2 linked regions of the Drosophila melanogaster genome follow. The protein of the gene in region 2 interacts with the protein of the main gene of each other region in a pairwise test. Each region holds a gene or a part of one and is shown on either strand. Other genes may lie near its edges. The genes, in order: smo and cos.

Region 1 (3,922 bases), on a different chromosome or scaffold from region 2:
CTGATCTTCTTGTTCTTTGAACTCTTAAAGAACCTGAAAAAGCGATCCTTTTCGGTAGCCAAGCGCTTCTCTAGAGCCCGGGGATCGATGGACATAAGCAGCTCAAAGTGCTGGTACAGCACAGCCTTGTCAAAAATATATGGCCAATTGTCCTTAATGGCCGTTATATCTGGGATCTTTTCGCTGTTATTAAAAAAGGAGCGCTGCAACGGAAAGCACTCTTTCATATATTCGATTATGACGGACTGTTCCAGTGGGGAACTGCCTCGGTAGCTGGAGATTAGTAACTCCTTTTTGTGCTCCAGATCCCTGTTAAGAGCCAGCGATTTTGCATCACCATTGGAAGCACCACCTCCGAATTTTCGTTTTTTATTAGGGATGTGGATCTCAAAGGTTCCCGAGCTGCCGCGTTTCTGGGGTTTGTTTAGGGCATTGTTACGGTTGATCATCTTGGATATGAGCGATTGCGGAGTGGTGGCTATAAACTGTCCCTCGCGGTCTTTTTCGAGTAAGGAGTCGGGGTACTTTTCAGCCGCCTGTTGGGCGACCTGCCGGAAAATCCGTATGGGAATGTGGGCGGATATTTCACGGAGAGCCTCCACCAAAACATTCGCAAGTGTATTCAACCGCTTGCCCAAACTCCCCTTTCCCTTTAGTAGTTTCATTATGTCCCCAGGCACCTTGCTCCAGGGTATCGAGAACTCCTTGAATAGAGCAGAACTCTTTGCACTTGATGGCGTTACGCTGGACAGTGACATGGTTTCGTCATTAGAGACCGTCGAATCGTTCGGGTTCGACACAATACTGTTGTTGGCATAGAAGCTGGGATCCACCGAGCTGCCGGCGCGTTCGGATCGGTTGAGGGGCGATGGCGGAGGAAGCACCACATACTCCTCCGACTCGGCGAGGAGCATCAACAGAATCTTCTCCTTGGCAGCGAACAAGAGCACGTCGTCCTCGCAGATCTCGCAGCCGTTGCTCTCCAGGACAATTGTGTTGCCGCACAGGCCGTATTTGTGAGCTACCGAATACAAATATATTATTGATATAAATTAAATAAAATATGTACAATTATTTAATTTCTATCCTAGATAAATATATCACCCATTGATCAAATTTATATTTTTAAATGCAGAAATGCTCTAAGCTTAAACCCAATAGATTCTTATTAAAGACTGTCTACTGGTTAATAACTTCCAACTGGGCAACGTTCATTCGGAATACTGGATGAATAGATACCCAATTCGTCGGACGTTCCTTACCTTTGTCGATTACATCCTTTCGAGTGGGCAACGACATGAAGGTCTTCTTGATCTTGCGATCGGCGCTGCATATGGTAATCAATACTTTGTCAGCCAGCTCGGTCTTCGGCTTGCCCTCGTCGTCGTCCTTCTGGCTAGCATCAGTGGAATGTGTCGGCTCTACGGCTAAAAGGTAAACGTTAACCAGGAAACTAGACTAGCTTCGAGCAAGTTTGCTAACCGGGGGCTTTCTCACCGCAGCTCTCTGGCTTTTTCGCTCCTCCTGTTTGTACACCATTTTCGATTGTTGTTGCCTTTGCGAGTGCGACCGGCGCTTGGTTTGCATTTTGATTCGGACTGATCGGCGCCTGCTGGGTGCTATGATCGCCGCCGGAACTGGCGGGCGGTGCGGGGGCAACGTCCATGGCTTCTATTTGCGTTTGCGCGACTCCAACCAAGCCCTGTTATCCGTGTTTTTGGACCGTGCCGTGAAATAATATTGCAGAATAGGGATGTAAAAACTACATCGATGCTTGGTGCGCTACTATCGCGGTGTTATCGATACTCCGCACCCAGTGTGACCGTCGAGCGCATGGCATAAATAAATAAGCCAGCGGCCAGCATTGCCATATAGTCAAAATGTTGCGGGGAACACCTTTTTCGTTTGCTGATGCATTTCTACATATGATCATATTTCTTATTTTATGTTGATGTTATCTTATGTTACGATCGAACAAAATAAATCCGATTTGTTTGCATATCATTCGACTTGTTGCAGCTATGACCGATAATAACCGATGCCGACCGATAACATGCAAATCTCGCTGACCGATAACATGGGTATATTTAAACTGGCCCTGAATGGTCGCACATTTGTTGCTTCAGCTTCACGTTGAGTCGCGTTTATTTTTGTTTTCCTCCTTGGTTCTTGTTTTTTTTTTCTCTTTTTTAAAAACACTGCAATCCTTCAAAGGGAACAATTAAACCAGGATATCCCGAGTCCAACGAAAGCGCCTTCACGATGCACTGACGAACCGCTGAGCAAGAAACGGGCATTCAGCCCATTAAAATTCACACAAGGCAGCTATTTAATGATTTTTATAAGCGGATGCAGTACTTAAACTTTCCGCGCATGCCAAACATTATGTGAGTGACTCGCCTCTGGCAAATGGTGTGGGCAATTAAAATAACTTGGTTATTTACAAACCGCAGGATGTTCCTGGAGGTTGCGATCTTATGCCTGTGGGTGGTCGCAGACGCATCGGCCAGTTCGGCCAAGTTCGGCAGCACAACGCCCGCAAGTGCGCAGCAGTCGGATGTGGAACTGGAGCCCATCAATGGGACTCTCAATTACCGACTGTACGCCAAGAAGGGCAGGGACGACAAACCCTGGTTTGATGGCCTAGACAGCAGGCACATCCAGTGTGTCCGACGTGCCCGTTGCTACCCCACCTCGAACGCAACCAACACCTGTTTCGGCTCAAAATTGCCCTATGAGCTGAGCAGCCTAGATCTCACCGACTTCCACACCGAAAAGGAGCTGAACGATAAGCTGAACGACTACTATGCCCTGAAGCACGTGCCCAAATGTTGGGCAGCTATACAGGTGAGGAATCTTAATAACATCTAATGTACCTAATGATTTCAAAAGGTGGGGCCGAGTCTGTATGAAAATACAGATTGTCGCATTATTTTCTGATAAGGAGGTGCATTAGAAACAAGTTAAGCGCACAACTGTGATTACTTAATTACGCTTTGTGTTCAAGCAGTGAAAGTAATATGTGAATTGCTTTATCTTGGGAAGATTCAGATATATATACATATTCAGTTGTGGCTCAAGGTTTTCTGTAGATATTATAGTATTTCAAATCCATTTCTTCAATATTCCGGATTAGCTCAACACACCCATTTTTACATGTTTATAGCCCTTTTTGTGCGCCGTCTTTAAGCCGAAGTGTGAAAAAATCAACGGCGAGGACATGGTCTACCTGCCATCTTACGAGATGTGCCGAATTACCATGGAACCCTGTCGCATTTTGTACAACACGACGTTTTTCCCAAAATTCCTTCGCTGCAACGAAACACTCTTTCCGACGAAATGCACAAACGGAGCACGAGGAATGAAATTCAACGGAACTGGCCAGTGTTTAAGTCCTTTGGTTCCGACAGATACGTCAGCCAGCTATTATCCTGGCATCGAGGGCTGCGGCGTGCGATGCAAGGATCCACTCTATACCGATGATGAGCATCGGCAGATCCACAAACTGATCGGATGGGCTGGCAGCATATGTCTTCTGTCTAACCTTTTCGTGGTGTCCACCTTCTTCATCGACTGGAAGAATGCCAACAAGTATCCGGCAGTAATTGTGTTCTACATAAATCTTTGCTTTCTAATTGCTTGCGTCGGGTAAGTTTTGAGCACTATTTTGCATTTGTATTCTTAATCAACCACGTATTTACTATGCAGCTGGTTGCTTCAGTTTACTTCTGGCTCGCGAGAGGACATAGTATGTCGTAAGGATGGAACACTTCGCCACTCAGAGCCTACAGCCGGTGAAAATCTTTCTTGCATAGTGATCTTTGTGCTGGTCTATTATTTTCTCACCGCTGGAATGGTTTGGTTTGTGTTCCTCACCTACGCCTGGCATTGGAGGGCCATGGGCCACGTCCAAGATCGGATA
Region 2 (3,922 bases):
CGTCCAGATCGGGCCGATGCGACTCATTGTCTGTGTCGTTTTCGTTGTCGGAGTTTGGCGACTCCGAATTGGCTGCTTCAGAATTCACGTCCTCGGGCTCCTCGGCCTCCAGAATGGGAACCAACTGTTTTTGCTGACGCATAGCCTCTGTTGAGCTGAGACACTCCTCGCACTCCTGCTTGAGGAAGAGCCACTCCTCGATCTGCTCCTTCTCCACTTCAGTAATTAGCTTGGAGTCTATCAGCCTATAAATTTCTTTTGTCGTCAAAAGGCCCACATCGGAAATAATGTGTACACTTACTTGGAAAATAGCCCCTCGGCGTTGGTAACTAGTTTGGACCATTGGCTTGCTGCGAATTGTAGGCCAAAGTTGTCCCCTGGTCCCGCCTGCGACAAGGGTCCAGCAGAGGAATTGGATTCGGGAACAGGCTCAGCCGGCTGAACGATCATCGTGTTGTCGTCGGAGTAGGTGTTCATAATTACAAAATTACGTACGCACTGCACCTTAAAGGCGAACTGCAGGTTGCCAAGAGTTTCGGGCAAGTGCTCTTCCAGCGGTGACACGCACAGGATCACGAGCGTCTGAGCCCGTCCGCCGAACGAGTCCTTCAGGAGAGTGGTGAGCGTGGTCTGACCGTACGGAATGTTGCCATTAACCCCGTACATGAGGCCTGGATCTGTGAGAGTACTGATCACCTGCTCCAGCATACACAGGCCAGCATCGAGAGGACGTCCCGGTGGCTGGTCTCCACATCTCTCTGTGCCGCAGAGATCCGAGAAACTGGCCGTGGACAAGCGGTGCTGCAACAGCCCCTCCTTGGACACCCACTGCTGCTCCAGGGTAAGCGTGAACAGGGTGTGCGCCGGCAACGATTGGCGGGCCGACAGACCCACCTGCAACCAGTGGAAGACGGCATCTACGTTGGTGCAGTGTATGTTTCCCATGCCCAACAAGTCGCAGACATCACCTCCGCAAATTTCCACGAATCCCACGTTGATGGCATAGGTGCGTTCTTAAAGTGAAAATGGAAATGGATAACTATGCTTATAAGATCCTTTTAGTAAACTCACCTGGGTGCAACGATATGTGTGAGAAAATGTCACGGACACAAAGTTGGACGACTCCTTCGGTGGAATCCGTCAGAGTAGGGTCCTGGACGTTTCCGTAGAGTGTGTAGCTTTTGCCCTGGCCCCTCTGGCCATAGGTGACTACAGATGCGTCGAAACCTTCCAGGAACAGGGTGATGAGCGGAAAGACCGTCTGGTGGTACACTTGCTCCTGGGAGCTGCTGCTGGGCAGGGCGTGGGTGACCGGAACCGTGTGGGGACCGACTTGTATCAGTCCAGCTGCAATGCTGTCCATGGGATCTCCGCCTGGCAGGGCACTGGGCAATCCCAGGGCCGAAGCGCTGATGGGAATAGCCTGAACGCAATATGCGGAGTCTGGGTAATCCTTCTGACCACTGTCGTTGCCATTGGCATCTGGAATTGTCTTCGAATCGGCCGCACTGTCCTGCTCAGCATTCCCGTTTGGGTCCGTCTCTGAAATTGACGGATTGTCCTTCTCAGCCGCCGGAACTTGAGCCTCGGAGTCCTTGGAGTCCGCCCCCTCATCCACCGCCTGCGCATCCTTTTTGGGCTCTGTGGGGCCGAAGCTCCTCAACAAGTCCTTGAGCTCTCTATGCGGGAAGATGCGCACCGCTACCTGAATGGGTATTTCCATGGTGGTTAGGCAACTAGTCCTGGTCTCGCAGGAGCTCTTTCATTCGATATCCTGCTCTTTGTTTCGCATCTTTGCGCTTTCAAATACGTGCAAAAATTCAACTCCCTCCGAATCGATACAATGTGATAGTGTGGCCGACGCTAAAGCGCCAACCCAAGCCGAAAATACCGAATCCATGTAACAGTTTGTTACTGTAAAAATCAAAATCAGTTTCCAATCAAATTGCTGTCAAATGTCAATTTTAAGACTGTGAGCTCACAACTATTCTTCAAACTGGTGAGTAAAACCGAATTCTATAGATAGATTCTCGTCAAAAGACTTAAGCTTGAACTGCTGTTTTTTTTTAAATGCCAAATTGCTGCCGTGCTGTTGGTTGTGATCTTCGCTAACCATGGGCTTATATAGTATACACAGACAGTAAACTTTGGTATTTTAAAAGTTGCGATCAGCATGGTCGGTATATGCTAAAGGTCTCACTGAGCGCGTGTTTTTTTTTGTGCTAAACGCTTCGTTTTGAGAATTAAGTGCAGTAATCACCATAAATTAGCATGTCCAAGCGTCGAATCGAAGTGGGGGAGACCTACGGCAGCAAGGCGAAGAAGTAAGTGACCCGAGGCCAACATACGGCAGTAATGTAACGCTCCTTTCTCACCAGGGACCCGGAGGCGTCCTCCTCGTCGGCGGCAGCCGCTGCCGGCACAGTGGCTCAAATCCTGGGCGGATTCGTGCCCAACAAGCAACCGCCCACGATGAACCCGCTGACCAACACGCCGTACTCACAACGGTACCAGAATCTCTACAAGAAGCGCATTGCGCTGCCCGTGTTCGAGTACCAGGCGGACTTTATGCGGCTGCTCAGCCTGCACCAGTGTATTGTGCTGGTGGGCGAGACTGGCTCCGGCAAGACGACCCAGATCCCGCAGTGGTGCGTGGACTTCGCAGTATCCAAGGGGCGCAAGGGAGTCTCCTGCACACAGCCACGTCGAGTTGCCGCCATGTCCGTGGCCCAGCGCGTTTCGGAGGAGATGGACGTAAAACTGGGCGAAGAGGTCGGCTACTCCATCCGTTTCGAGGACTGCTCCACGGCCAAGACGCTGCTCAAGTACATGACCGATGGTATGTTGTTGCGCGAGGCCATGTCTGATCCCATGCTGGACCAGTACCAGGTCATTCTGCTTGACGAGGCTCACGAGCGGACCTTGGCCACTGACATTCTAATGGGCGTGCTCAAGGAGGTCATTCGTCAGCGCAGCGACCTTAAGCTGGTGGTCATGTCCGCCACACTGGACGCCGGCAAGTTCCAGCAGTATTTCGACAACGCACCGCTCATGAAAGTGCCCGGTCGCACACATCCCGTGGAGATCTTCTACACGCCCGAACCAGAAAGAGATTACCTAGAGGCTGCTATTCGCACGGTAATCCAGATACACATGTGCGAGGAAATTGAGGGTAAGTTGGTAAATGAGTTTAGCTTGGAGTTCATTTAATAGCTTGCTAGTTCATTGTTCTAAGAAGCATTTATCGATCATATGTTTACAATGTAAAAGTGCCAGGCAAAATATAAACTTTCCGAGTGCCGAAGGGCGGCAAATGCTTCGTATTTGCTTTAATGGTATTGTAATCATTCAAGTGTTTACGACTTTTGAATATGATCCTATTCAATGCCGGAAAAGACGCATTCGCTTTTTCCATTGTAAACTAAACCCCAACTTGATTTTGCTACTCTAGGTGATATCCTAATGTTCCTCACGGGCCAGGAGGAGATTGAGGAGGCTTGCAAGCGCATCAAGCGCGAGATCGACAATTTGGGCTCAGAAATTGGAGAGCTGAAATGCATTCCCCTGTACTCGACGCTGCCGCCCAATTTGCAGCAGCGCATCTTCGAACCGGCCCCGCCGCCAAATGCTAATGGCGCAATTGGACGCAAGGTCGTGGTGTCCACCAACATTGCCGAAACCTCGCTGACCATTGACGGAGTGGTGTTCGTGATTGATCCAGGCTTCGCCAAGCAAAAGGTGTACAATCCTCGCATTCGAGTGGAGAGTCTGCTCGTCTCACCCATTTCAAAAGCGTCTGCGCAGCAGAGATCCGGTCGTGCTGGACGTACGCGTCCTGGCAAGTGTTTCCGTCTGTACACGGAAAAGGCGTTTAAAAACGAGATGCAGGACAACACCTACCCCGAAATTCTGCGCTCCAATT

What was found.
Region 1: the proteins of cos (region 2) and smo interact in binary tests that used the Drosophila melanogaster proteins (3 or more experiments, as listed by UniProt).

The regions. Positions count from the first base shown.
Region 1 is NT_033779.5:275,477-279,398, forward strand, and holds the start of smo (smoothened), read left to right. Parts: upstream 1-2,105; 5' UTR 2,106-2,349; coding exon 2,350-2,387; exon of another isoform or gene 2,388-2,453; coding exon 2,454-2,847; intron 2,848-3,166; coding exon 3,167-3,648; intron 3,649-3,708; coding exon 3,709-3,922. Other genes in the region: CG17078 (uncharacterized protein), read right to left, coding at 1-1,021, 1,263-1,427, 1,483-1,666. UniProt on the Drosophila melanogaster protein: Segment polarity protein required for correct patterning of every segment. G protein-coupled receptor which associates with the patched protein (ptc) to transduce the hedgehog (hh) signal through the activation of an inhibitory G-protein.
Region 2 is NT_033778.4:7,385,257-7,389,178, forward strand, and holds the start of cos (costa), read right to left. Parts: upstream 1,860-3,922; 5' UTR 1,724-1,859; coding exon 1,072-1,723; intron 1,014-1,071; coding exon 302-1,013; intron 246-301; coding exon 1-245. Other genes in the region: Dhx15 (DEAH-box helicase 15), read left to right, coding at 2,272-2,324, 2,379-3,172, 3,452-3,922. UniProt on the Drosophila melanogaster protein: Regulates cubitus interruptus (ci) processing by recruiting multiple kinases to promote its efficient phosphorylation.